4 linked regions of the Arabidopsis thaliana genome follow. The protein of the gene in region 4 interacts with the protein of the main gene of each other region in a pairwise test. Each region holds a gene or a part of one and is shown on either strand. Other genes may lie near its edges. The genes, in order: KNAT2, KNAT6, HSL1 and BLH1.

Evidence for each region.
Region 1: the proteins of BLH1 (region 4) and KNAT2 interact in binary tests that used the Arabidopsis thaliana proteins (3 or more experiments, as listed by UniProt).
Region 2: the proteins of BLH1 (region 4) and KNAT6 interact in binary tests that used the Arabidopsis thaliana proteins (3 or more experiments, as listed by UniProt).
Region 3: the proteins of BLH1 (region 4) and HSL1 interact in binary tests that used the Arabidopsis thaliana proteins (3 or more experiments, as listed by UniProt).

What each region holds. Positions count from the first base shown.
Region 1 is NC_003070.9:26,574,878-26,582,499, reverse strand, and holds KNAT2 (homeobox knotted-like protein), read right to left. Parts: upstream 6,015-7,622; 5' UTR 5,866-6,014; coding exon 5,593-5,865; intron 5,353-5,592; coding exon 5,218-5,352; intron 5,145-5,217; coding exon 5,006-5,144; intron 844-5,005; coding exon 602-843; intron 511-601; coding exon 355-510; 3' UTR 69-354; downstream 1-68. UniProt on the Arabidopsis thaliana protein: May play a role in meristem function, and may be involved in maintaining cells in an undifferentiated, meristematic state. Probably binds to the DNA sequence 5'-TGAC-3'.
Region 2 is NC_003070.9:8,296,791-8,304,342, reverse strand, and holds KNAT6 (homeobox protein knotted-1-like 6), read left to right. Parts: upstream 1-1,742; 5' UTR 1,743-1,850; coding exon 1,851-2,171; intron 2,172-2,309; coding exon 2,310-2,438; intron 2,439-2,539; coding exon 2,540-2,678; intron 2,679-6,354; coding exon 6,355-6,596; intron 6,597-6,685; coding exon 6,686-6,844; 3' UTR 6,845-7,052; downstream 7,053-7,552. Other genes in the region: MENG (S-adenosyl-L-methionine-dependent methyltransferases superfamily protein), read left to right, coding at 7,450-7,552. UniProt on the Arabidopsis thaliana protein: Plays a role in meristem function. Contributes to the shoot apical meristem (SAM) maintenance and organ separation by controlling boundary establishment in embryo in a CUC1, CUC2 and STM-dependent manner.
Region 3 is NC_003075.7:15,477,661-15,485,383, forward strand, and holds HSL1 (HSI2-like 1), read left to right. Parts: upstream 1-1,718; 5' UTR 1,719-2,152; intron 2,153-2,513; 5' UTR 2,514-2,574; intron 2,575-2,834; exon of another isoform or gene 2,835-2,981; 5' UTR 2,982-3,128; intron 3,129-3,321; 5' UTR 3,322-3,387; intron 3,388-3,464; 5' UTR 3,465-3,570; coding exon 3,571-3,689; intron 3,690-3,872; coding exon 3,873-3,954; intron 3,955-4,042; coding exon 4,043-4,144; intron 4,145-4,240; coding exon 4,241-4,767; intron 4,768-4,856; coding exon 4,857-4,953; intron 4,954-5,046; coding exon 5,047-5,221; intron 5,222-5,409; coding exon 5,410-5,486; intron 5,487-5,622; coding exon 5,623-5,940; intron 5,941-6,027; coding exon 6,028-6,077; intron 6,078-6,201; coding exon 6,202-6,315; intron 6,316-6,479; coding exon 6,480-6,547; intron 6,548-6,623; coding exon 6,624-7,237; 3' UTR 7,238-7,694; downstream 7,695-7,723. UniProt on the Arabidopsis thaliana protein: Transcriptional repressor of gene expression involved in embryonic pathways, such as LEC1, ABI3, and FUS3. Repressor of the sugar-inducible genes involved in the seed maturation program in seedlings.
Region 4 is NC_003071.7:15,088,242-15,094,402, reverse strand, and holds BLH1 (BEL1-like homeodomain 1), read left to right. Parts: upstream 1-1,987; 5' UTR 1,988-2,176; intron 2,177-2,224; exon of another isoform or gene 2,225-2,287; 5' UTR 2,288-2,336; exon of another isoform or gene 2,337-2,616; 5' UTR 2,617-2,703; coding exon 2,704-3,546; exon of another isoform or gene 3,547-3,863; coding exon 3,864-4,252; intron 4,253-4,336; coding exon 4,337-4,397; intron 4,398-4,482; coding exon 4,483-5,232; 3' UTR 5,233-5,641; downstream 5,642-6,161.

The sequences.
Region 1 (7,622 bases), on a different chromosome or scaffold from region 4:
CCGATCCGAAAAATCCGGCTCCGAAACCGAGCCAAATAGTCACAAAATTCGAATGGATAATGAATTCTTCTACCCGAATGGATAATGAAAATAAATTATTTAGTTGACACATCAGCTATCTAAGTAAGGTTCAATACAAATAAGAAATCTATCAATTTGGATGATTGGAAGATTAGTGACATAATATTGCCACTATTTCCAATACAATGTCTCGTTACGCCCTTGACCGTTTTGGCTAACGGGTTCCATTCATTCGCGATGATGCCCCATTTACCAAAAGCTTTTTACTGTTTTCTTTTCTTGGAAAAACAGTGTAAAAATTATACAATGCACAATTTCATGTCTCTCTTTTCATTACTCGGTAAAGAATGTTTCATTAGAATCGTCCATCATATCAAACGGCATGTTCTCCGAAGGCTTCCAATGGCGTTTCCTTTGGTTTATAAACCAATTGTTGATTTGTTTTTGATCCAAACCTGTTTCTTCAGCCAGAGATATTTTGTCGCCTTCCTATACACATTCGAGAGGCGGATATTAATATGTCGAAGAAATAAATTAATGAGTGTATGCTAGGTTACGGTGGAATCAGAAAGACACTTACAGTAGGGTAAGGCCATTTATTATGAACATTCCACCAATCGAGCAACGCTTGTCTTGCTTCTCTTGGTAGCTTCCCTTTCTTCTTCTTTTTAGAGAACTCGAGTTTCAATGAACTGATATGGCTACCAAATTTGCGTAGTAGCTGGTCCTTCAGATCGCGGTCATTGCTTCTTTGTTGGCTGTCATCCGCTGCTATGTCATCATCTTCTCTCAGTTCCTCGTCAGATGAAACCGCACCATCATCTGCTCATACATGAGAATAATGTCATACAGAAGATTCAATAATGATTAGCTCCCACGTATTAGCCAAATACGTGCCATACCGATAAAATGTACTAGGAGAATGTATGGTGGTGCTATTTATGGTAGCATATTTGACAATGTAGAAAGCAAATTCTACCACTATGCCAACACTAACAAACATAGCTAACACTAAGATACTAGTAGGCTCGGCTAAATGACTAAGTGGCTAAAGCAGCTAAAAGAAGAAAAGAGCCAAAAAAGCATAGAGAAGAGAACAAGGGTGAAAGAAAGGAAAAAAAAAAAAAAAAAAGGGTGAAAGAAAGGGGTAAAAGGGGAAAAACAAGGATAGCGAGATAATATCGAGGTTTTACAAGACCCGGGCACAAAAATGATCAGTCAAAAACTTTCGCAGTCACTGAATAGTTTAGCTTCCATTGCCACTGACGTGCTCCTTTGGGACTTACCACTAGCCACCTGAGTCACGACACGTATCACCTTTCTGACACTTGTTTGAGTGACCCCCGGAAAAAACGCTTCCCCAACATTTATGAACTTTCTCATAATGCCCCATTTATGACCATACCATACTGACCCCTATGTTACTGCGACTAAAAGGGAGCCTAATTAAGGGAGTTTAAACATGATTAATGGTCAAATTATTTGCATTAATAGAAATTTCACTTAGTATTCTCAACTTAGTGATTACAGAAAGACATCGTTTCAAAGTCTCCCTAAAGAGTTTAGGTTGTAGTTTGCTACACCACTAATGAGCTGATCCTTAGACAAATCACACAAAATATAGTTCACACCCTATCCATGAAAACTTTGCTAGTTGAGGATGGTATGTGCAATAGTAACTCGGTTTGTTCTTTACCTATTAGCCGAATTTGGTTCCTATATAACATCAAGACAATGCGAAAGAGACAACATGCACTGATAAAAAAAAAGTAGATAGACTTGTACATCTCCCAAAAAAAGTTAAACACGTGGAAATTGCATGGCCCATTAAGGGAACAAACGCAGAGAGGAAATGACAACCACTAAGCAACAGTAGAAAAAGATGTGGAGAAACATTAGTCGTAAGATGATTGCATTGTACATAAATCAAAACCCATGTCTCTCCCCTATTTTCTTCTCTTTCTTTTTCTTTAAAATCAAATCAAATCTTAAAAAGAGAGTGTTGCGATTGGGTCATAAAGGGATCCACCAACGTAATCCACGGGAGTCCATGTGACACTTGACCACCTCATGCTTCTGTCTCCAACTTCTTCTATTTAGAAATTAAAAAGGGCTAAAAGATTTCTAATTCAAGCATTTGGGTGTGTTTTTTTGTGCGTGTCAAAAGGACCATTCTATCAACGAAGGTGATATAACCAAACAGATTATCAGTATTATCATGTCTAGAACTGGTGAAGTAACTAATGTGCCATGACAGAGTATTTTGTTCAAAAGAACATGCTTTTCGAGTTTCCTACGAACATTGAATGAATAGAATATCATTCACAGCCAAAGATATATCTAGGGTGAATGCATAGGGACCTAGGGTGAATGCATTTTACAACACAAAAATACTAGTTGTAGACTGTAGTGAATAATCTTAAACAATAGTCCTAAATTCCACATATGGATACAAAATCGCACATGGATCTCATTGTATCAATACACCATCCGAACACCAAATGATTAGAAGAAAATATGAGGATGGAACAAAAACCATGGCCAAGATTGACCATCTTAATCACGAAAAGGGTCAATTGCACACTAAAGCGAGAACGAAAAAAATAAGTAAACACAATTGCTATGACAAACATCAGTTGACTAAAGAGGATTTGGTTTATTCCTAAAGCATATTAGCACGAAAAGAAACCAAAAGCACATGACTCTGAAAACTACATATTATGAGTTATACTATTAGTTTAAGATATTCAGTTGAAAAGAAAGTCCTTTCTCGGGACTTAAGAAACAGAAAAAGGTATTGACCAAGGAAAAGATGTTCATAAGGTAATATATATTCCTTCAAAATCATACATGAGATTACGCTAAAAAGGTAAGTGGTACTTCAAAACCATTAAAAAACTAAACATTCGTCCAATAAAGATAAATTCAAGCTGCAAGTGATCTGTTTTTCAACCTTTTGGACAAGATTATTCCCTATGTAAACTCCAATTAATTAAGTACGCTGATAAGTATTAACAACTTTTCGGAATTAAACAATGCTAACAAAGTACAACCGAAGCAGCATTTGATATCAACATATAAGAAAAAGAAGACTATTAAAGCTGAATTCCACTATATTGTAGTTCCAATTTTTTTCCAGCTAGTTCTTATCAGGTGGAGATGAAGAAGTAAAATGATTACTTTAAAATCCCTAAGATAGTGAAATACTTTACTTATAAAAAATATACACACGTATTCTGACAACATGAACGTGGCTAAGTAGATTAGTGTAGATTAACAAGAAACTAATTTTTGCCCTGTTGGAAAGGTTTAACCAATATAAGCTACAAAAACAACACAAAGACAACTAAAATTACATTCTTTTAAGAAACCTACTATTCCTTATTTGGGCTGCTTGTAAAATACTTACAAAGTTCTATTCTGCTTAATTAAGAAAACAAATGGTGGAAAAGAAGGTACCATTAAGTTTAGTTTAATACCTCGGCAAATTAGTAAACCTCACTTACATTGTGTAAGTGTCTTAATGCATTTCAATCATTTATTTATTCACATAAAATTCCAACAAGAATACAAGAATAACAGACACATTAACCACGACATGCAGAATATACAAGCCTCTTGGCCATCAAGCATTTTTATGGACTTACATGCGCATGAGCTCAGATTAACTGAAATCCAACAGAGATTTGGTTTAGCTTTTTCGAGCTAAAGAAACACAAAATCCAACTATTTGACCTGATCAAGACACTTCTTTGGTTTACTAAGTCAGATAGGTTCGTGAAAATTAATCACACCAATGATTTTGTACATGTAATTTGAACACAGTGGACTTCAAATGTAAGACCCTTAGGTGCAAATACAATGTATTCAAAAATAAGGGCTAGTGTCATTAATTTTCACATACACTAAGAAAACAAATCAATCTTATGTTATACTCATTATACACAATAAATTTTTATCTCTCTAATAGTAAAAACTAAAGTGACATGGATAAAACTTAAGTCTGACACTTTCTATGGAAAAGTAGTATAAACTTTGGTTCATTCACCAAGAGAAGTTGGAGTAATCAAGAACTAGTAAAGTTTTGTTTTACCCATCAGTCTCTTAATGAAGATGAAAACAAGCGATACTACTAGAGATCTAAACATGAAGCCAAGGACAAACTCAAGAAAAATCAGTGGCATTTATTAGTGGAAGTTATGACTAGGTTTTTTCTCTATGATTGAATTTTCACTGGAAATAAGCAATTAAAAAACTTCCAGTACGACACTGAAACGTCAAAATCAGAATCTCTAGCGCAAAAGTTTTTGCTTTCATAGACCCATATTTTCTTCTGACAGAGGAGAAGATAATAATACAAGTATATATAAAAGTAACAAAAGAAAAGTATACCATACCAAAATCACTAGGAAAATAAATATCACTAACAGAGAAAATCCTACCCACCGGCTTTCCCCTAATATCCGCCCCACAGCTTAAACCATAGCTAATGATAGAAAATAAATGTCACAAAGATGTGTGAAGGTCATGGATCTATCTAAAGCATGAATGACTTCTACCAAATATAAAAGATGTGGCTGAATCAATCATTGTTTTCTAACAAAACTAGGGTTTTAGAGTTTCCTTGTTTTTTTCTGACTTTTATTGCCTTGGGTTGTCTAAACCGGATCTACTAAGCTCCTCCTAGTTTCAGCTACAACAACTTATCGATTCTCGTTTTCTTTAAGGAAAAAAAAAACAGTAGAAGATTTCCAATTTTTCCATCAATTCCAAGAAACTGATCATTGAAGCACAGAAAGGAAAAGTTATCTGAGGATAGATTTTCTAATCCGCAAGATCTGTAACTGTAAGGAGAAATTTGCGCAAGGATTTTAAAGGACACACAAACCGAGGATAGTGCTCAAAGATCAATAAAAACACTAGCTAGGAAACAAGAAATCAAAAGTACACTCGAACAAGAGATAGATATCACTTTAGTGCTGACCTGAAAGAGCTGTAGCAGACGCTGGACCAGTGCACAAGTTCTGAAGCTGCATTTCAATCTTGTTTATGAAAGTTGTAGCCTCGTCGAACGGCCTCGCAAGATCGGTTTTGTATTTAACCAATATATCACAGTAGGTTTCCTAGAATCACACCACAAAAAAACAAAATTATATTTTAAGAAAAACTAGAAGATCAAAGTTCAAGGCAACGAACAAAGTGAGAAACCATGAATTCATCAAGCTCAGGATCAGCTCCAAAGCAAGATAATGGAGCAACATCTCTCTTGTACACATGGTTCTCTCGCTGAATCTCTTCCAATATACACGCTATTTCCATAGGCGCTCCCACCTGTCAATCAATAACCAAAAAAAAAAAAAAATCACTCTCACATATAAACACAGTCTCTCTAGTTCTCCAATCTTATCTTAGGGTTAAAGTGGAATAGAAAAAAAAAAGTAAGAGAACTATCTTTAAATACGACGATGAATACATGTAAAATTCCTGACGCTTAATCAAATTAACCTTGAAAGCACAAAATCATACACAACAAGAAAAAGAAAAGACAAAACACGAAAGCAGCGAGATCACCTTTTGGCAATCGATGTAGGTTTGGAGTAAGCGAGGATACAAAGGATGAGAAGCGATTTTGGATTTGATGACACTAAGAGAGAAATTATCCTCAGCTTTTCGAATACGCGGAAGCAACTCCGAGGACAAAGCGGTAGCGAGTTCGTCGGATCCAAACAGTCTTTGATTGTCTCCGGTGGTTGAACAAATCAAAGACTGATAATCGGACGGCATCATCAACGTCGCTTTCTCCGAATAGTCTTCCGTCGAGCGGAAACCACACATTCTATCCATTAATGTGATCGTAGTGAGATACGATCAGTGATCGCCGCTTCTTCGATCCCTAGCCTTGTGCTTGCTTCTGAAGAATATGAAGAAACACAAAAGTAAGAAGTAACAAACTGCTTCAAAGAGAGAGAGAGATAGAGACAATGGAAATAGATAGACTGGCCAAGTTGAGGCGGTCTCGTAGTATAGTAGTCTGAGGGCAATGATCGTAAATATTTCAGCAAAAAACCAAAAAAAAAAAAAAATGATTTGTGACGAAAAGCAAAAAAAAAAAAAAATCACGAATATGAATTTTCATAGTTTATTATGATAATTTACAAGTTTTTCTTAAAGACACCATAATTTTTATTTTATTTTGTCGTACTAGTATAAAAGAAGAAAGATTTCAAGGGTTTGCCATATGTGTTAAGGAATACGATTCGAGTGATTATAAAAAGATTTCTTCGTGATTCAAGAGCACTTTTTTTAACTGTACGATTACATGGTTACGATTATTTTTGATATATAATATTATCGCACAAATGATCAAAATAGCACGCTAACCTTTAGAATTTATGACTTAGCTAATGAAGACAACAATTAGTACTTGTTAACAAAAACAGGTTAGACGATGGTAATTTGAATTTTGACAGTAAAAACAAATGATGGTAATTTTGTTAATTAATAAGCTTTTTGTTTCAATTACGGTGGCCGACACCTACTAGGCTACTACGATTCTAGTTGTCTAACCGGATCGGTTCAACTTCAATTTCACTCTTTCAATTTTCACCTAGTTTTGTTTCTCTGTAAAACACGTCTATGGTAGCTAGGTGCTCATTATCAATCACAACATAGTAAACAATTTTTGTTTTTTAATTGCTTTCAGTCATTTGCTAATTAAACACACTCTTAGGAACTATTTTTTATAGTGGCCACTCCACTTATCGCACTTCTTGTTATTTTCATAGAGAATCTGTTAGTCGCGTATAATATCAACTCAAAATGTTTCATTACCTTATATAGTAACAGAACCTGCAGTTTTTGTCATAAACCAAAATCCATCTATAAACCCTGTTGTAAGAAAAAAAACTATATTTTTGCATGGGTCTACTCCAGACCCGATCCGATGATCCATATCGTTTTTTCCGCAAAAAAAAATAAAAACAAATGTCATAAAGGTCTTTTTGATGATGGACAGGTTTGATTGACACATCCGTCGGACTACTTTGGTGTGAAATTTAACTGACATAAAGCTTTGTTTTAGTATCAAACCTTATAAAAACGACAGAACTTTCCTTCTCTCTCATTTCACTTCGTTGGATCGTATCGTATTGAATCCCCACCGGTGGCCTTCACAGCACATATTTATATTGTTTCTAAACTTTTCTGTATTTTTTGGGGGGGGTCACAAGTTTCTATAATCTATATGATCACTATCGTCGAGAAATGATTGCAAAAAAAAAATGTGTGTCTTGCAGAAAAAATAATAATAACAAAAAGTGACGACTAAATTATTAGATCAAGTGCATATAATTATGTTGCTAAGATAATATTGTACCACTCGAATGTTTCATCATGGATTGTTCATACTGTTCCCGTGATTTAGTGTTGTTAGGTTTCAATTCTTTGTATTGAGGTTTTTGTTAATATATTATTGTACCACTCGGTTGCTTCAACTTTGTAGGAGTTTATTGTCATTCTTTTTTGTATCTCATATCATCAATATGTGGTTTTGAACAAATTTGTTTCTGTTGTTAGAAATGTTACTGAAATTGGAGATTACT
Region 2 (7,552 bases), on a different chromosome or scaffold from region 4:
TATGATAGACGTAAAAAGCTGTCGACAAAACTAAAAGAATAGTTCCATTCGAAATATTATAGATGCTCTCGTTCTATTTTCTTTTTGGTTAAAGTGCTCGTTTTTTTCTTGATACTCTCTTTAAATTACGGCCAATTTCATAATTTCAAACTTAATACATATGTAAAATCATTAAATATACCAAATTATGCTTATGTCTATTTTTGTGAATAAATTACATAGTTCATTTTCATAAGCTAAAGTCATCATGAATATCAGCATCATCAATTTTGGCATAAATTTCATAAATCATAAATTAGCTAAGACCATTGATTTTGCAGCTCCTATACGCCTAGACCAGCGTTTATTTTATTCTTAGTTTTATCCACAAACTTGCTTTATACAGAACTATTCTAAAGTAAACACTAGCTGATACTATATACTAATTTAATCTTAATTAGACGATTTTCCATTAGGGCCTTCTTATCTACTATCTAGGAACGGACCTTCGCTTCTCGAAACCCATTTCATCCCGTACAATCGAAGTGTCCAACATCCGAGTTGGTAAAAAATTTCTTACTACGTAGTAGGTACTAAGAATCACTTATCATATCCATATATTCTTCACATTTGATTTATTTCATACCATCATTTGAATATATATGTGTTGATTATCATTTTGTTAGTAGTCGTGTTCGATAATTTTGTTCTGTATCTAGCAACAAATTTACAGTGACAAGTATTAAAATAATACCGCTCTTTAACTATATATATGTATGTATCAGCTCACTAGTTGTTTGTAACCAGTTCTTGTTTTTCCAGTTTGATATATTCGATTCAACATACCCAAAACATCTCTCATATACTGAACTAATATCTATTTCTAATTGACTCGATTCAATATCATTAGTACTATATTATCTTCTGATATGCGACTTCATTTGTTTTCTTTCTTCTGTTCGGTTTTCCACTTGTTGTTTAACATTTTCACCTTGTTTCACTATTTGCAATCAAATAAACGATTTATGTAGGTGTATCTATATATGTTCTTAGGATCATAATAAAAATATATTTTCTACAAAGTTTTTCGAAAATATATATACATTGGGGATTATTTTTTTAACTGTCTACAGCTCACACATGCATATTATCATATTTGAATGAAGATAACGATACAATGCCGATACTGATACAAATCATTATGTTAGATGCTCAATTTGTTTCTATAGGTCCTATAATATATACATCAAGTCATCAACTATACTTTTTGAAAAGAAAATTACACAGAGCTTTCAAATAAGTTGCGTGTAGTTTAGTGGTTATATGTACTAGTAGTTATGTTACCATCTAAGTGTATTGTCGATGAGAAAAAAAAGAGTTCAAATAAACTGACATAGTATGCTGGTAAATAATCACACTTTTTCCGTTTTTTCCATTTCGTTTTCAATAATATATAATTTTGTTTCTCGCCATGTTTCATTGATATTAAAAATCTCATGATCATGCAAATTCTATCATAACACAGCCTTGGACCTTTCTTAGATATATATGTTAGGAAGGCCTTATCTCGACCTATGAAGCCTGAAGCTCCATTGAGCCTTTTAGCATATGTCCTTTTTCGTAATTATCATTTTATTTTTCTTCTCCGTTAACTTTCATATCTTTTTTCTTCCAAAAGAAAATAAATTAAGATCCCTCGAGCCTCTCTCTCTCTCTACACACTCCCATAGAAATAAATATTTTCAAGAACCAAAAAGTTTGTTATAAGCGGTTTCATATTATTCTTCTTCATCGATTCTTGATTTTGCAAGAAGACAATTCAAGAAAGCGATTTAGAAGACGGAGGAGTTCTTACCGGAGATCTTATACTTATGGATGGAATGTACAATTTCCATTCGGCCGGTGATTATTCAGATAAGTCGGTTCTGATGATGTCACCGGAGAGTCTCATGTTTCCTTCCGATTACCAAGCTTTGCTATGTTCCTCCGCCGGTGAAAATCGTGTCTCTGATGTTTTCGGATCCGACGAGCTACTCTCAGTAGCCGTCTCCGCTTTGTCGTCGGAGGCGGCTTCGATCGCTCCGGAGATCCGAAGAAATGATGATAACGTTTCTCTAACTGTCATCAAAGCTAAAATCGCTTGTCATCCTTCGTATCCTCGCTTACTTCAAGCTTACATCGATTGCCAAAAGGTGATCGTTAACTCTTTCTTTTTTTATCACTTAGATAAAATCTAGGTTTTACTTTTTAAAGATAAAGATAAGATTGAGAAGCTTTGATATTTGATTGTTTTTTTTATAATTTTATGGTTTAACAATTTCATAATTTAGAAACAGGTCGGAGCACCACCGGAGATAGCGTGTTTACTAGAGGAGATTCAACGGGAGAGTGATGTTTATAAGCAAGAGGTTGTTCCTTCTTCTTGCTTTGGAGCTGATCCTGAGCTTGATGAATTTATGGTCTCTCTCTTTTTTTCCCTCGATTTTTTTTCGGATTTTTATTTTTGTTAAAATATTTTTTTTTGGAAATTTTTGTACTTAAGAAGATAATTTATTATCAGGAAACGTACTGCGATATATTAGTGAAATACAAATCGGATCTAGCAAGACCGTTTGACGAGGCAACGTGTTTCTTGAACAAGATTGAGATGCAGCTACGGAACCTATGTACTGGTGTCGAGTCTGCCAGGGGAGTTTCTGGTATGTCTTAAATTATCCCTCTCTGGTTCGGTCTTTTAGTGGTTCTATTTTGTGGTTAGTTCTGAATGATTTCTTTTGATCTTTTCCGTGGTTTTTCATTAATAATATCCTTTCCTCGATATTTCCATAGGGTTTTGATTCATATGACCAGTTTCTGAAAAATGATTGGTAGCTTGTTGATAGAATAACCCTAGGCTTTTGAAGTGATCAGAAAGCAAAATAGATAAAAAATGAAAAAAAAGAAGATAAACCCTAGCTACAAGTTTCATTTCCATAGCTATTTTTCCCTTGATGGGTTTTGTTTTGTGTGTGCTTTTCTTTTGGGCACGTTGAAACTCTGGAGACAAAGATCTGTTTAAGGTGTTGTGCAATTATTTTACTCGTTCATTTAATGTTTTAGCCATGGGATTAGGGTGTTGGAGTGTGGTGGGGATTTCCTCTTCTTCTTGTTGTTGATCTTTGTGCTAATCATACAAATTTTACTTTATATCTTTTTCTCTTCTTTCTCTGTCAGAAAGAAAATGGTGTAGAAAGCAATAAACTTTTGTGGTAGAGATTCTGATTTTGACGTTTCAGAGGCTTGTTGCGTACTGAATGTTTTTTCAACTTGTTGCTTTTTTCTAGTGAAAAACCAATTGACAGAAAAACCTAGTCATAACTTTTTAACAATATGTGTAGTTGATTTTTCATGAGCTTCTTTTGCTTCACTTCTCGTTTAACAATAAGTAAGTATAAGTACTAGTCATAACTCATAAGTCGCTTCACTCTTGTTTATGGGTAACAACCTTATTAGGTTACCAGTTTTTCTAAGACTTCAACTTCTTTTGGTCAGATGATTATTAATAACCAATAAGCCATAAGAGTTATTAGCTGTAATTCCTCTTTAAGCTCATTCACAGATTCTCTGGATCGGAATTAATAAGCGTGTTTAGATAATTTTACGATTAAATTTCTGTTATATCTTAATAACACACCATATAATTTTTCTATCTAATTAAATAGGTTAAAACAATAAAGTTAAAATTGTATTTTAAATTTAATATAGAAGTCTACAAAACGACATTCTTTGTGAAATAAAAATTTAATCCTGAATTCGACATTTATTATGAAGAACGTAACTTTGGTCTATTTCAAGTTTCAATGATCTGAGAACAAGAGTAGGGAGATTTTTGTTGATCATCGGAAATAGTATCATTGCCAAGTGGCCACTCTTATCTGCATGTTCTTGTTGGAGTCTTGTTGGACTTATATGTAAGTAATAAACCAAAACTGACTCAATTTTGAAGCGATTTAAAAGTCTAGGTTTTATGCTTATACATGAATGAAATGCTTCAAATAAGTGACTTTCTTTGTGGTTTACTGATATTATCTCTTTAGACCACATATTGTACTACAACTAGCAAAAACATTGTGGCCATAACAAATCAACCGATCAGGTTAGCTAGAAATACTGATCCTTAGGAGTTTTTTTTTTAATACAATAAAATAGAAGAAAAACTCCAGCTGAAAGAGTTAGCTGTAAAGAAATGAAACTCCATAGATTGGTAGACTTTTTTTCAGCTTTGCAGGAGTTTTCCATTATCGTGGTCGATCTCAAATGCAGGTTCCACTTGTACTTTGGTAATATTGTTTATTGGGGGAAAAAAGCTGCTGATATATAAAAACATATCAGCTTATCTTTATAAACTAATCGAGAGTTAGCATAGAGTATCAACTGGAAAAGTTGAAAATAGATCGATGCAGGTTTTCCATAATGGACGAATGTTTATGATTAATAATTTTAAAATTTGTTCAAAGTACAACTTGCCTTTTTGAATGATCTCATCTGTTTTTTTTTTCTTTGGTTGTGTGCTTTATTTAACCATCTTTTTCTTTCACCTGAATGAAATCATAAACTAATAAAGAAAAAAGAAGCTTACAATTGTTAGACAATATTCACATGGGATGCGATGTTATCTACTAGTTTCTCAGTTCAATCACATGCTTGGTTTCTTTCATGTTGATCTGATTTAGTAATACAAGTTGATCACATAGACTTTTGATTTCTCACTTCTTGGTTGTTGTGATACGGTAATGCAACTTAGCGAAAGCCCTTCTTTGGACTAGCTAAAAAAGCAACACATTCTTTTCTTCTAATGCGTGGTTATCTTGCTACTTAGAGTGGATGGTCTCTTATTGACTTTTATAGTCAACATTTGTCTTGTTGCATGCAATATCATCAATGTTACATGTTTGCATATTTGATCTAGAAGATAAGAATACTGCAACGAGAAGAATAGGAACATAGTGCATGATTAGCTTGAATTAGAGGTTCTTTTGGTTTTTGTTATAAAGTAAAAGGTGGAAAAGTCACATGGACTCCCGTGGATTCCGCTAATGACCCCACCAACTTTCTCTCCTAAGATTTTATTTTTGATTTGGTTATTAAAAAAAAAAGGAGACATAGGGTTCTCTACACACCACAATCAAATCATCTATAAGACTGCGACTATGCTTCTTCTCTATCTTTCTCAACTCTTTTGCCATGCCCTCTGGTTGCGTTGTTCCCTTGGTGGGTCGTATTATGTCTCTCTGAGGCACGCTACTAGCACGTGTCTACTTGCATGTTACCTTCTTCAGTGAACCCTATTTTCAAAGCAGTCAATGCATTGCTGAAAATGTAAATAATAATCCCAACCATACAAACTATCGTTTTTTGCCATTAAACTGTTACCCTAACTACTCATATGTGTGTAATGTGAACGTAATGGTCTCTATAATATATGATCAGTTCATGTTTTATGCATTTTAGTATATTTTTATTGGCCTATTTAACATCTCTATTTCCTTCATAATTACTGTGGCTGCTGTAGAAATCTTTTAACTTTTATAATATGTTTATAAAACTGACTGAATTGCGTGAATTATAAATTGACTGAAATTACCTTGGCTGTTGTAGAAATCTTTTAACTTTTTTTAATATATGTTTATAAACTGACTGAAATTGCGTGTATATATTATGTAGTCCAGTATTTTGTGTGACTGACTAAATATTTTGACTAAGCACGGTTGCTTGGTCCGACTATATATTCTGTCACATAGGCAAAACTATTGTAAAATCAGGTAATGTTCTTGAATCGTCTTTGGGTTGAGTTTTGGTGTCAGAGAAGCTGGGTAAGTGGGTCAGTAGAGTCGTTGGGGCATATATATAAATGTCCAAATACATTAAAGAAAGAGAGAGAGAAAAGGAAATTGAGTTTTGGGGTATCGTGGAGAACATAAATGAGAGGTGTAGCGTTATTTCCGGGGGTTCACACAACCTCTAAATGGTATTTACACGTGTCATATTGAGATTGGGTAATTAGTAGGCCTAAGGGGGGATGTCTCCTCATGGGGACAAGACTATTAGTCCTCTCCTGACAAATGACAATGGAGGTAACTATTCACTGCGGCGGTTTTTTGACTGCTGCACTCAATCGTGTGCGTCCTCGATATTCTCTACCCCTTACCACTCTTTCTTCTTTCCCTTTTTTGCCCTCTTTAGCCACTTAGCCGTTTTAGCCGAGAAAGCCCATTTAAACTTTTTCATGGTAGTGAATAGTGATAATTCTGTTACATTTACTTGCTATAACCTATAACCATTCTCTGTCTTTGATGTCTTTGTATAGTGATAATTCTTGTGAATTTGGTGTAACAGAGGATGGTGTAATATCATCTGACGAGGAACTGAGTGGAGGTGATCATGAGGTAGCAGAGGATGGGAGACAAAGATGTGAAGACCGGGACCTCAAAGATAGGTTGCTACGCAAATTTGGAAGCCGTATTAGTACTTTAAAGCTTGAGTTCTCAAAGAAGAAGAAGAAAGGAAAGTTACCAAGAGAAGCAAGACAAGCTCTTCTTGATTGGTGGAATCTCCATTATAAGTGGCCTTACCCTACTGTAAGCAAAAGCAACACTTGCATGTTTTCCGACATAACTAACCACTACACTTATATATAAATGGGTGGTATGAATGTGTGTGTACACAGGAAGGAGATAAGATAGCATTAGCTGATGCAACGGGGTTAGACCAAAAACAAATCAACAATTGGTTTATAAACCAAAGGAAACGTCATTGGAAGCCATCAGAGAATATGCCTTTCGCTATGATGGATGATTCTAGTGGATCATTCTTTACCGAGGAATGAATTTATTTATGGTACTTATTTAACGTTGATTAAAAGATGGATGTATAATTCTGCCTTGCTTTGCCGACAAAGGAAAAAAAGAAAGAAAGAGTGAAGCATGGACGACACATGAAATGGATCTTACACTCACTCACATGTAGTAGAAGGAACAAGTCAAAATGCTTTGTAACTATTATTATCGGTGAATAAAAATAACCTCTTTTGTCTTCTCCGGACCTCTCGTGATATAGCTTTTACCCTCTTATTGGCAAAACGTTGAACAAACAAAATACTTAGATAGGTTAGATTTGTTTATTAACTATGTGTTTTTCAAAAATAATTATAAAATATCTTGTTATTTGTGTAAATCACACTAAATTAAACACATTCTTTTATTGACAGTTTAATCATCATGTACATTTTGCTAATTGTAGCCAAAAGTTTAGCTATCTAGCAATTGGAACCTTGTGCCCATAATCCAACCATCTCTGTTTAAATTTTGGGGTGGGTTTCAAATTATCCTTATTGGGCCTAAAATCGGCCCAATATTAAACTGAAACCAGACTTTTATCCAATCCGAGTAATCGGAACAAAACAACATGATCGTGTGAACCAACGGCCAAAAAATGGCGGCTCTACTCGGTATCGTCTCTCCTGTGACTTTCACCGGAAAGCACCCGGTAAATTCCCGATCGCGACGGAGAACGGTAGTAAAATGCTCGAACGAAC
Region 3 (7,723 bases), on a different chromosome or scaffold from region 4:
AGGAATATTTCATATGTGAAATCTGAAAGGCAACAATATTAGACTAATATAGCAAATAACATGATATCAACGTATGGGAGTGTAAATGTCTGAATGTTCCATTTGAGAAATGTCCTCATCATGTGACACAAGTTTATTAGGCTACTCAAGTTAGCTTAGAATTAAGAAGCTAGAACATGTGAAAATAAATAGAAAACAAAAAAGAGGAAACAAAAACTAATAACAGAACGAGAAGTTGAAACCTTTTGGATCCAATTAAATGAATATCGATGTAATTCCAAAATGTTAGTTCATGTGTTAATGTTTGAAGATCTAGTACATATGAATAACATTTGAAATCATTTTTGTTTCATGCAATTACATAACTACAAGGGTTTTCATCACATATTGCTAATTAATTTTGAGTTTAGAATCCAAAACATTTAACCGAAAATCTAATAATTTTAAAAAGGGTGATTTACTCATCTATAAGACTAACTAAAAAAATACGTACTAAATTATTTACAAGAGACAATTGATAACTAGAGTATGAATTAGTTGTTTAGACTTACCCATGTGTCAAAGTCATATTGACAAATGGCTCGGTTATAACTGATTTATATACCAATAATTGCATACAAGTTTGTTTCTTAAATAAATCAAGCAATATTCATAAGATTGCATGTGTATTTTCTGCGAAACTATTAGTACGAATTCGTGGATATGCAAATTTAATGACTATGCAAAGTAGGTGAGAATGTAATAGCGATTAGAATAGCTAGGGTTTAGCCTACCAACCATGGTAATCCAGTTTCCTAATTATCGTTAGTTTTTGAATCCCATTCATGCTTTTATCTATTTTTCAACCAATCATGTCTTTTTACCAACAAAGCATTTCCAGTCTAAGCAATATGGTAGGTAACTCGGTACGATAAACAGAAAGATAATTTATTATTCATCTATAAACGAATAATTGGTTCTCACATTACTCATACAGAGGAAAAAAAGGGATATACAAACCCTCTCTAAATTATATAGTTTTGAATTCACTGTTGTTTATCAACAACATATATAACTCTCTTACCCAATTCTTATTATTGTTCATACTTCATAGACATTAACATGTACGTATAGTGATTGCTACAATGAATGGTATGTACAGATATTGAGACAGACAGTAGAAAGGGATGAATCGAGTATTTATTAAAGAGAAAGGAAAGGGCCAATCTATGCCTAGTTTCAATTATGAAACTCAACCCATGAACTGATTTAAATACTTTACCTATCGGATAAGACTTTTAAGGGTCTAAAATATTTTCCAACTATTTTTCATTTGCAACAAACCTTAAAGTAATATGCTAAAGAGATCTTTTCCAAAGGTGGAATGATTTTTTTGATCTAAAACGGCCCATCAACCAATCTTCGGTCCATTATCCTGACATGATTATTTGGGCTACATTTTTTTAAGTCTTTTGCAGTAAATTGTTGAACCAACAAAAATAAAGAGTTGGAGTTGGACCTAGTAGCTGATCTGCTGATGTGTTGGTGATGGTCGTCGTGGGTTCCTGTCTTATAACCCTAGAAACCAAGCCACTTCATCATTCTCAAATTCAATGCTTTACTAAATAATATTATTATCGAAATCAAAATACTAATTTAGACGTATATAAATCTAGAAGCAAACCTTAGGTGAGGTCGAAACAGAGATGACCTTTTGCGTGCACTTTAATTAATATCTTATTACATAAAATGTCACACTTTGAGTAAACTTTACATTATTCTCTCATCCATAATAAATAAATAAAGCATACTGGGTTTTAGGTCAGGCTGACGTCAGCAGTTTCTTTGTGTTTCATTTTTTTTTTTTTTGTAATCTAACGCTCCAGATTTGTTGTCTTCTCCACGAGCCCTTTGTTGTTGTTGGTAATGGAGATTTTCGCTCTAAGTCATTGTGGCTTCTTCTTCTTTATTTAGAAACCAATTCATCAACTCCTTCGTTATTTCTAAATCTCTTTGCCACTACCTCTTGTTGCTGCAATTGAATTGGCTCAAATCTTCTTCACTTGGTCGACGTAAAGACGACTTTGACTTGGTTTTTAACTTCACTTCTCCGTCGAAAACTATCCCTTCTCTTCCGATCGAATCAATCGGCTCTCTCTCCACACAAACCAAGGTAAGGGTTAACCCTCTCCGGTGATTATGCTCTGATAAATTTACTTGCTCGGCCATTAGTGTTCAGAAACTTGGTGATTTATGCATGTTTTTTTTTGTTCAAAGACCGTAGATTTCGGAATTAGGATTGTAAAAATTGAACCTTTACATCAGTGTTTTTACAAAGTTATAAGCTTTACTTGGAAATCAGTGGTTTTTTGGGTCAACCAAAGTTGAAAGATTTGAAGAAGAATGAAACTAGTTCGATTTATATATCATTTTATTGCTTCTTAAGAAAGTGTCGTCCTTGGTTCTTTATGAATTTCCAATTGCAGCCAAATATGTCATGTTATTCACCTAATTTTTGTATTTTCCAATTGCAGCCAAATATCTTCTCCTGTTACTGGAGACAAACCTGCATACATTTCTGTCATCTCTGTTAAGGTATTACATTTAGTTTACTTGTTTACTTAATGTAGCTGCTTATTACATTTTTTTCTTCAAGTCTATATTCTTCTTTCAATAGCATTAAAAGTTATGTGTATCCTCAGATTAGATCTTGCTGACTCGCAAGTTTTTGGATTATTTAGCGGTTTAATAAGAATTATATCTTCCTTGAAATTGTGCCTAGGTAGTGGAATCGTTGTTAGCCTACTGTAGCTCAGATAGGTGATGGATCATTTCCGTTCAATTGAATAATTTGACTATTTAAGGTTTGCACTTAGTTTTGTCTACAGAATCAATTCATCCTTTTTCACAGTCAAGATATTATTCTCATTATCACTATTGTAGACTTCTTGGACTTCCATACATTCATCAGTCAACTTTTCGATGGTGCGTTTTTATCACAGTGGCACAATTATTTAAGAGGCTCCATCTCCACTGCACCACTGAGAAGTTTCGTGTGGACATGTCTAAGCTTAGAATTGGTTTGGTTGAAAACTGAGGAGATGGAAGTGACTCGTGGTTTCTCTTTTTTGGACAAGTTTCTTCGAAAGGTCTGTTGATTTTCTTTGTCTCTTGTGAACTTTAATTTCGTTTTTTTTTCCTTAGGATGCAATGATATCTTATCTTTAGATGTCAATATCAAATGTCCTTAACTATTCATTCATTTACGGATTTTGATTACTTTATAACAGTTGGTATCTTCTTCTATATATCGTCATCTTATATGTTTTTATTTGTATATAGTCTTTCACAGAAGGAGCGTATTGAGTTTCTCGACAATATATTTGACATCTTCTTCTGCCTTTTCTGGTAAGTGTTTAACTTTTCTGATACCAATTAGTTTTCTTAATCATTGCATATTTTTAATGCTTGTGCCTTTATTAAAGAGGAAAGTTGCGGTGGATTAAAGCACCATCGTGCGGAGAATACGATAAGGCTCTTGCTTCATTTGAAGTTATTGACAGTTGAATCGAGCCGCTCAATTGGTCAATTATGGAGTCAATAAAGGTTTGCATGAACGCACTGTGCGGAGCGGCCTCTACGTCGGGCGAGTGGAAAAAAGGCTGGCCTATGCGATCCGGTGATTTAGCTTCTCTCTGCGATAAGTGTGGGTAAGGGCCTTCACTCTTGTGTCTAATTTGAATACTTTTGCGACCAGTTCGATATTCGCAACACTTCTGCGATAGATTAGTGCTGTGGGTTTGCTTACAATTAGAACAAGAGTGGGTACGTGAAGGGAATCTATATTTCATGATTACTTATTAGTAAACTCTGTGAATGTTGGTTTTTGATAGGTGTGCATACGAGCAATCCATATTCTGTGAAGTGTTCCATGCCAAGGAATCTGGTTGGAGAGAGTGTAATTCATGTGACAAGGTGACGAAAATCCATGGCTTACTACACATGTTTTTGCACTCAACGTATTTCAATTGTTTTCCTTAATACGTATTTACGTTTTTTTCAGCGTCTTCACTGTGGATGCATTGCTTCTAGATTTATGATGGAGCTTCTAGAGAATGGTGGTGTTACCTGTATAAGTTGCGCCAAGAAATCCGGACTAATTTCTGTAAGACAATTTCCTCTCCATGAGTTAACTTCTTGCAAGGGATGCTTCCTTGGTCTTGGTTTCTCTGTCACTATACTCATGTAATCTCTCTTACAGATGAATGTGAGCCATGAATCTAACGGTAAGGACTTCCCCTCATTTGCTTCAGCAGAGCATGTAGGCAGTGTTCTTGAGAGGACAAATCTCAAGCACTTGCTTCACTTTCAAAGAATCGACCCCACTCATTCTTCTCTTCAAATGAAACAAGAAGAATCGCTGCTTCCTTCCAGCCTAGATGCTCTTAGACACAAAACTGAAAGGAAAGAATTGTCTGCACAGCCAAACTTGAGCATTTCACTTGGACCTACGCTTATGACAAGCCCATTTCATGATGCTGCTGTTGATGACAGAAGTAAGACTAATTCGATTTTCCAACTGGCCCCTCGGTCCAGGCAGCTGCTTCCAAAACCTGCAAATTCAGCTCCCATTGCTGCTGGCATGGAGCCTAGTGGGAGCCTGGTGTCACAGATTCATGTCGCTCGGCCTCCTCCAGAAGGTCGCGGGAAGACCCAATTGCTTCCCCGTTACTGGCCTAGGATTACTGACCAAGAGCTGCTGCAATTATCTGGACAGTATCCTCATCTGTATGTTATAATATCGTGTTTCTGCTTTTATTCTACCATTATGCACTATTTTTCTGTGCTAAGGAGTCCTTGACTGTTTATTTTCCTAGCTCAAATTCCAAAATTATACCACTCTTTGAAAAAGTTCTGAGTGCGAGCGATGCGGGTCGTATTGGTCGACTGGTTCTTCCGAAAGCATGTGCAGAGGTAACTTGTTTCTCTGTACGCTTATTTGATATTCCCAAACTATTGCTATCTAAATGCCAGGTATCAGCTATAACCGTCTATGCTTCTATGTAGGCATATTTCCCCCCTATATCTCTACCCGAGGGTCTCCCGTTAAAGATACAAGACATAAAAGGGAAAGAATGGGTGTTCCAGTTCAGGTTTTGGCCTAATAATAACAGCAGGATGTACGTTTTGGAGGGTGTGACTCCTTGCATACAGTCCATGCAGTTGCAAGCTGGTGACACTGGTACTTTTCAAATCCTTTTGTTTCGTTAACTACATTCATAACATATTGATAAACCCACCCTGGTATGGATAAATGAAACATTGGCACTAAAGCGTTCCAATCATGAGGACAGTGAAATACATTCCACGAAGAGATGACCGTACTTTTCTATTAGGTCTGATGTCTTGGATTTTCCATGTTCTCTGCAGTAACATTCAGCCGTACAGAACCTGAAGGAAAACTCGTAATGGGATACCGTAAAGCGACGAACTCTACAGCGACACAGGTAAATGCATAATAAGCTGAGAGTTGCCCCCTTAGGCATAAGTAACTGCCACTGTGAAGTGTATTGAATTAAAGAATCCTTTTCTGGTGCTCTCGTACTGATTCTTTCAGTGAAATATTTTTCCGTGTTTCTTCAGATGTTCAAGGGAAGCAGTGAACCCAATCTGAACATGTTTTCCAACAGCTTGAATCCGGGATGTGGTGACATCAATTGGTCTAAACTAGAGAAGTCTGAGGACATGGCAAAGGATAACTTATTTCTTCAGTCGTCCTTAACTTCTGCTAGGAAACGGGTTCGGAACATTGGGACTAAGAGCAAGCGTCTGCTCATTGATAGCGTAGATGTTCTGGAACTGAAAATAACTTGGGAGGAGGCACAGGAGCTGTTGCGGCCTCCCCAATCCACCAAACCCAGCATCTTTACGCTGGAAAATCAAGATTTTGAAGAATATGACGTGAGTTACTGTTAACTGTTTAGTTATCAAAAACAGCTGGGAACTTTTCACTGTATTTTCTGAAATCATGTATTTGCTGCTACCCAGGAACCACCAGTTTTCGGGAAGAGGACCCTTTTTGTCTCACGTCAAACAGGGTGAGGCCTCATGTACTATGTAATGATAGGATCAGAAGAATTAAGCACCCTTGGAATGATCGAAAGATTTGAAGTAATGAACATCTGATTATTTGGTTCTGATATGTGATCCATGAATTCTCAGGGAACAAGAGCAATGGGTGCAGTGTGATGCTTGTGGGAAATGGCGACAGCTGCCGGTGGATATTCTTCTTCCACCAAAGTGGTCGTGCTCTGATAATCTCTTGGATCCTGGCAGGTAAACGAGGTTGCATGTTCATGTGTTTAACCTAGGCTAGTTACCACAGAACATTGCGCATTTTTTTCCGAAATAACTTAGACTACACATATGGGATAATTATAGATTTTTGACTCACTGAGACTGGCCATCTGAATAATTTGAGTTGCTGTTTATATCGTCAGGTCTTCATGTTCCGCACCTGATGAACTCTCTCCAAGAGAACAGGATACACTTGTCCGGCAGAGCAAAGGTAAAATCCGCAGCTATTATTGGTCTGTATAATTAGAAACTTCCTTCTTTACATAACGAAACTTTCGTCTCAACAGAGTTCAAAAGGAGGAGACTGGCATCATCAAACGAAAAGCTAAACCAGTCGCAGGATGCATCTGCTCTGAATAGTTTAGGAAATGCAGGCATCACCACAACCGGTGAACAGGGGGAAATCACGGTTGCAGCCACGACCAAGCATCCAAGACACCGGGCAGGGTGTTCGTGCATCGTCTGCAGCCAACCACCGAGCGGAAAAGGCAAACACAAGCCGTCATGCACTTGCACTGTGTGCGAGGCAGTGAAGAGACGATTCAGGACGCTCATGCTGCGGAAGCGGAACAAAGGAGAGGCAGGACAGGCAAGCCAGCAGGCGCAGTCACAGTCAGAGTGCAGGGACGAGACAGAAGTGGAGAGCATTCCAGCGGTTGAACTAGCCGCAGGGGAAAACATCGACTTGAACTCAGACCCGGGGGCTTCCCGAGTAAGCATGATGAGGCTTCTCCAAGCTGCAGCGTTTCCTCTGGAAGCATATCTGAAACAAAAGGCTATTTCCAATACAGCAGGAGAACAGCAAAGCAGTGATATGGTCAGCACAGAACACGGTTCGTCCTCAGCCGCACAAGAAACTGAGAAAGACACAACAAATGGAGCTCATGATCCTGTGAACTAAACAGCTTTGGAATTCTCCATGAGTATTTATTCTTCAGTGGTATGTGTTTCTTATTTACACAAAAAATGTCTTCGGTTTCGTCTCAAATTGGTTGAGTGGTTACGACCATTCTACCAATTGTCGATCGAAGAAATGAGGAATTTGTAGTTTGCTTTTCTTTTTGTTTCTGGTGTTTTGGTTTGGTGTGTGGTGAGTTGAGGCTTGAGAGAGAGAGACAAATAGATTTGATGAGGTTTTTGAAAATACATAGGACACTAACTTAATAGTTATATCTAATATGGAAATGGATGAAGCTTCTAAGAAGAGAATCGGTTCTGGAGGTGGAGCTTCAAATTTGTACGCCTATCTATCGCAATCTTAAGTTTCAAAATTCGAACCTGTACATAATTTTTATTATTTTCAAGTTTGTTTATGAAATTTATGATTTACTTAAATTAGAGAAATTGGTTACGCGAGATCCTATTATTTTGATTTGGTGATAAACTT
Region 4 (6,161 bases):
TATGCGCTATGGATGATTTATTTTACATAACTGGTAGTTTGTTTATGTGGACGGTAAACGATTCAAAAAGATAAGCAAATTTGTCCACATATGTTTTTGTTGTTCTACATACAAATTATAATTATCTATATCGTATAAATAAAATAAATACAAGTTACTAAAAAAGACTTTCTCATGAACTTAAACACTCTTTGCAATTAATCAACTAAAATTATCTACTATATTTCTAATTATATTTTAAATAAAATACTTTTAGTCAAATACCCTTTAAAAATAGACATACGTGGTAAACTAAAAGAATATATGAAATAAAGAAATAAAAGTAAATATACATTTAACGGGACCCACTCTTTCCCCATCATGCTTCATTATCATTATCGTTATCATCTTCTTTCTTCCTCTCTCCTCTCTTTCTCAATAATTTAGATTTTTGTGTGATTAAATATTTTAGGTTTCTGCAGAAGGAGACGTTTCCTCGTTTTTGTGCTGTTTGGATCTTCTGACACAATTCACTTTTCCGTATAAGTTTTCAATTTCTCTAATCCCATTATGTATATTTAAAATATTATACTCTTAACCTATTTGAGTGTTTGGAAGAAAAATATAAACTAACGGTAGGACTTTCAAAAATGAAATCTATTCATTTTCTAGAATAAAGTGTTGATGCGTTTTAAGTTTTTATGTGTATGTGGTAATATAAAACTTTGTAAATAAAGTATCTTAGTTAATCTGCTGAGGAAAATAATGAAATGAAATTAAAGAAAAAAACAGTTGAAAAAAGAAAAAATGAAAAGAACTTGGTAACGTAAACATTACTAATTTTATTACTTATAAATCATAATCAGTTCAAAGTTCGTTGCCATCCTCAGTGTACACTCTGAACTTGCTAGATGATAAAAGTCTGCAAGAATAGTAATCCGAAGAATACTTTATGTTCAGGATTGTAGTTATATCAATAAAGAAAGATTTGGATTGAGATGCGTGTGGGATTTCTTTTTATTAAATAAATACAAATATAATGTTTTAAAAGAAAATGATATGATTCTAAATTGGACACGACATACATATCACTATGTCTTGATGTGATAACATTTACTTCATCTATGAAATTATATCGTCTATAAATAACTAAATAAAGGGTGTTTGGTTGTTATGATATGTGGGTTCATTACCTGGTCAATACATGAAAAGGCCAAAGTCATATCATACAAGTTCCTCTGTTTTTCAAGTATACCAATTCTAAATTTATAATAAGATACGTATCACATATATATTACCAAATAATGTATACATATGTCTATGAAGTTGAAATATTTCGAATTTAATATTATCTCTTGTACTGGATGTCAAACTAGAATTTCAACAACAAACAATTATATGCACATTTTCTCACTTAGTTTTATGAATTTTAGCTCCCTATGATATATATGTACTTTGTAACTTATTTATCACCATGCTATATAGTGATAATAACATGAAGTAAAGGTTTTTTGAACATGCAGTATGAAAGAATGCTATGTCTTTTTCTTAATTTATTCATTAATCTTTTTCTATTTAAAAAAACTGTTGAACCAATTGCTCTAGAGTACACTAATTTAAATGATTACATAAAGCTATATCTAAGTGTAGAGTTTAATATCAATTTTGAAAACAAATTCCAACATGGTTGGAATGTCTATTTAGCATATTAAATTAAAAAGATAAGTAATATTAGCTGGTGGTGAACGTAAACACACACACACACACAAATTGTTTTGCGGATACAAGTATATATCAATATATGAATGTAAAATTAAGTTACATTAGTGAATATTTCATGTCCTAAACATTGGTTATTGTCCCATTTAACAAAAAATCCACTTTGGTTATAAGATATACCGACCACAACACTAAAATAAAATAAAATAGAAAGAAAGTGATGAAAAATGGTGGCGTACTAAGGACTGTGGGAAGATTAATGAGTGAAGGAAAAGATGGGTATCTTTTATCTCTCCTTTCTTTATCCTCTCTCTCTTTCAATATATATTAGTCATTTTTATTTTGTTATATATTATTTCTCAGCTTTTTAAATGTATTTTATATTTCCCCTTTGAGCAAGAAAAGAGTTGCAGAGATCTTTGAGTCTGACACAGAGACCAAACTCACATAGCAATCACACACATCTCCACAAACACAGGTATGCATATAAATATATATATATAAGTGTATATTCGTGTGTATGTGTGTGTGTCTGTCTCTCTCTCTTTCTCTTTGATAGAAATTCTCTAATGTAACTTTCCTTTTGCAGCTTGAGATGATCATGAAACACGTGCATCCTCAGATCTCTATCAATCCAGGTTCTTCATCTTTTATAATATTCATTTTTTCTTTCAATTTCTAACTCTATTATTTTATTATTTTATTTTCAATCATGATTATGTCTTAATTTCCATATCCTTCAATCTCTCTTTCTCATAATCCATAATTCATCCCTTCTTCTTCGTCTTCTTGATGTGATCACGATTCTTTTTTTCTTCGCTTCAACTGTATATATATACAGATCTATATTAAACTTATAGTGGTTTTGTTTTTGCTCCTTTTTCATACTTTTGTTTGTTTTTCTATGATATCAATCAGCTTGGTGAAAGAAGGTCAAGAATTGAAAGAGAATCAAAGAAAACGACGTCGTTTCATTCGTGTGTAACAACTACTAATTATACATAGATGGCTGCTTACTTTCACGGAAACCCACCGGAGATCTCTGCCGGATCCGACGGTGGTCTTCAAACGTTGATCCTCATGAATCCAACTACTTACGTTCAGTACACCCAACAAGACAACGACTCGAACAACAACAACAACAGCAACAATAGCAACAACAACAACACAAACACAAACACAAACAACAACAACAGTAGTTTCGTTTTCCTCGATTCCCACGCGCCGCAGCCAAACGCGAGCCAGCAGTTCGTCGGAATACCACTCTCAGGTCACGAAGCTGCTTCCATTACAGCCGCCGACAACATCTCCGTACTTCACGGTTATCCTCCGCGCGTGCAGTACAGTCTCTACGGTAGCCACCAAGTGGATCCCACTCACCAGCAAGCCGCGTGTGAGACGCCACGCGCGCAGCAAGGCCTCTCTTTAACCCTCTCGTCTCAACAGCAGCAGCAACAGCAACATCATCAACAACACCAGCCTATTCACGTCGGATTCGGGTCCGGACATGGAGAAGATATCCGGGTCGGGTCTGGCTCTACAGGATCGGGGGTAACAAACGGTATAGCTAATCTTGTTAGCTCCAAGTACTTGAAGGCAGCACAAGAGCTTCTTGACGAAGTAGTCAACGCTGATTCCGATGACATGAACGCTAAATCCCAACTATTCTCATCGAAAAAGGGTAGTTGCGGAAATGATAAACCTGTCGGAGAATCATCGGCCGGCGCTGGAGGAGAAGGTTCCGGTGGCGGAGCAGAAGCAGCCGGGAAACGTCCGGTGGAGCTAGGCACGGCAGAGAGACAAGAAATACAGATGAAGAAAGCAAAACTTAGTAACATGCTTCATGAGGTAACAACAATACGTATTATATACAATAAGCCTACATATACTGAGTGCTCTCTTATATCACACATGAAGTGGACTTAAAAGTTCTGTCCCTAAGATTTTCAGTCATTTTCACAATTCATTTTATATGTATATTAAGCTATCCTTTTTTTTTTTTGCTCTTCCGATTTCTCAAATTGACAACTTACAAGATTGATGAAATCTTTTTTTTTTTGTCCCTCTCTTAGTAAAGACTAACAACTTTTATAGATTATATTTATGTAGACCGTACACTTATGTTCATAAGACTCACGTTACTTTGTTGGTTGAAAAATGAAAAGGTGGAGCAGAGATATAGACAGTACCACCAGCAGATGCAGATGGTGATCTCTTCGTTCGAGCAAGCGGCAGGGATAGGATCAGCGAAGTCATACACGTCGCTAGCATTGAAAACCATATCAAGACAGTTCCGTTGCTTGAAAGAGGCGATCGCTGGTCAGATAAAAGCGGCCAACAAGAGTCTTGGGGAGGAAGATTCAGTGTCTGGTGTTGGGAGGTTTGAGGGGTCGAGGCTCAAGTTCGTGGACCACCACTTGAGACAGCAAAGAGCTCTTCAACAACTGGGAATGATTCAACATCCTTCCAATAATGCTTGGAGACCTCAACGTGGTCTCCCAGAACGAGCCGTCTCAGTTCTCCGTGCTTGGCTCTTCGAACACTTTCTTCATCCGTAAGTAACCCACTATACACACATGCACTACTTTTCATCACTGGAACACAAACTCAGTCTCTAAGTTGTCTTTCTTTTAATTAGATACCCTAAGGATTCGGACAAGCACATGCTAGCTAAGCAAACAGGACTCACTCGTAGCCAGGTACGTTTCAAAATGATTCTTTCTTGTGTTATTAGGTTACTTAAGAAAGCGTTTTTAAGTAAATTTATTTTCTTTAATTATTTAGGTGTCGAACTGGTTTATAAACGCGAGAGTTCGGTTATGGAAACCAATGGTGGAGGAGATGTACATGGAGGAAATGAAGGAGCAGGCAAAGAACATGGGATCCATGGAAAAGACTCCTTTGGATCAAAGCAACGAAGATTCTGCTTCAAAGTCAACAAGTAACCAAGAAAAGAGCCCAATGGCGGACACTAATTACCATATGAATCCCAATCACAACGGTGACCTAGAAGGCGTCACTGGAATGCAAGGAAGCCCCAAGAGACTAAGAACCAGCGACGAGACAATGATGCAGCCAATAAATGCGGATTTCAGCTCCAACGAGAAGCTCACGATGAAGATTCTAGAAGAACGGCAAGGGATAAGATCAGATGGTGGCTACCCTTTCATGGGTAATTTCGGGCAATACCAAATGGATGAGATGTCAAGATTTGATGTAGTCTCAGACCAGGAGCTCATGGCGCAAAGGTACTCAGGAAACAACAATGGCGTGTCCCTCACGTTAGGTTTACCTCATTGTGATAGCTTGTCGTCCACGCACCATCAGGGTTTCATGCAGACCCACCATGGGATTCCTATAGGGAGAAGAGTGAAAATAGGAGAAACAGAGGAATATGGACCCGCCACCATCAATGGTGGTAGCTCGACCACAACCGCACATTCATCAGCGGCAGCTGCCGCGGCTTACAATGGGATGAACATACAGAACCAGAAGAGATATGTGGCTCAGTTATTGCCCGACTTCGTTGCATAAACCCATCTCTCTAGAAGGAGAAACCGAAACAGGTTATTATATACGTTTCTAGTTTTTAATTAGTATATAGTTTCTCATACCATTGAACCAAAACAAAGAACAAAATTTAATTTTAGTCTTTGGTTATATATGGCCGACGGTTGTATATCGATTTTGTAATTTTTTTTTTTCGTTTCTATTGGGGGATGGATAGGGTTATATATGTATATGGATTAGTTACGTGTAATAGCTTGCATTGGGTGTATACCAAAATATATTTTTACTTTTATTACAATGTAATAATTAATAAGATAGTGAACTGATCTATCAAATATGGAATGATGATTACAGATTAGATCTAAGCTGTATAGATTCCGAATATGACATGTATGCTTAAGCGGCTGGAAACTTATAATATTTTTTGAGGAGTGTTTATGTGTTAAAAGCATATTAAATAAAATTCTACACATTCACAATACAAATATAAAAAAAAACAAAGAAAGCAATCTCTGAAATAAGATCTTACGAACTGTTGAATTGAATTCAGATTTCAAACTTTGTGTATAGTTTTTTTTTTTAAATCAATTAAGATTAACGTTTATAAAACTTGTTATAAATTTTCTTTTCAAGATATATAAAAATGAAAATGTTCAAATCATTTTGTAGAATAGCGTCACCTGCTGAGAGATAAACTTACAATAACAGTAACAATTTTTTTTTTCTGTTATTAAAGACATTGACAGAATATTTATATGAAGACTGCGTGAGAGTGTGAGACTAATTTCGGAGAGGTTTGTAAGAAAAAAGTTTACAAAAACATATGCGAATATTTAATATATATTTTACTCATTTTCGGCCCATAACTTTTTTTGGGCCCAAATACCTTTCTATAGATATTAATAAATAATGAAATTTAGTGAAACACATGAAATATGTTGCGACTATCGGAG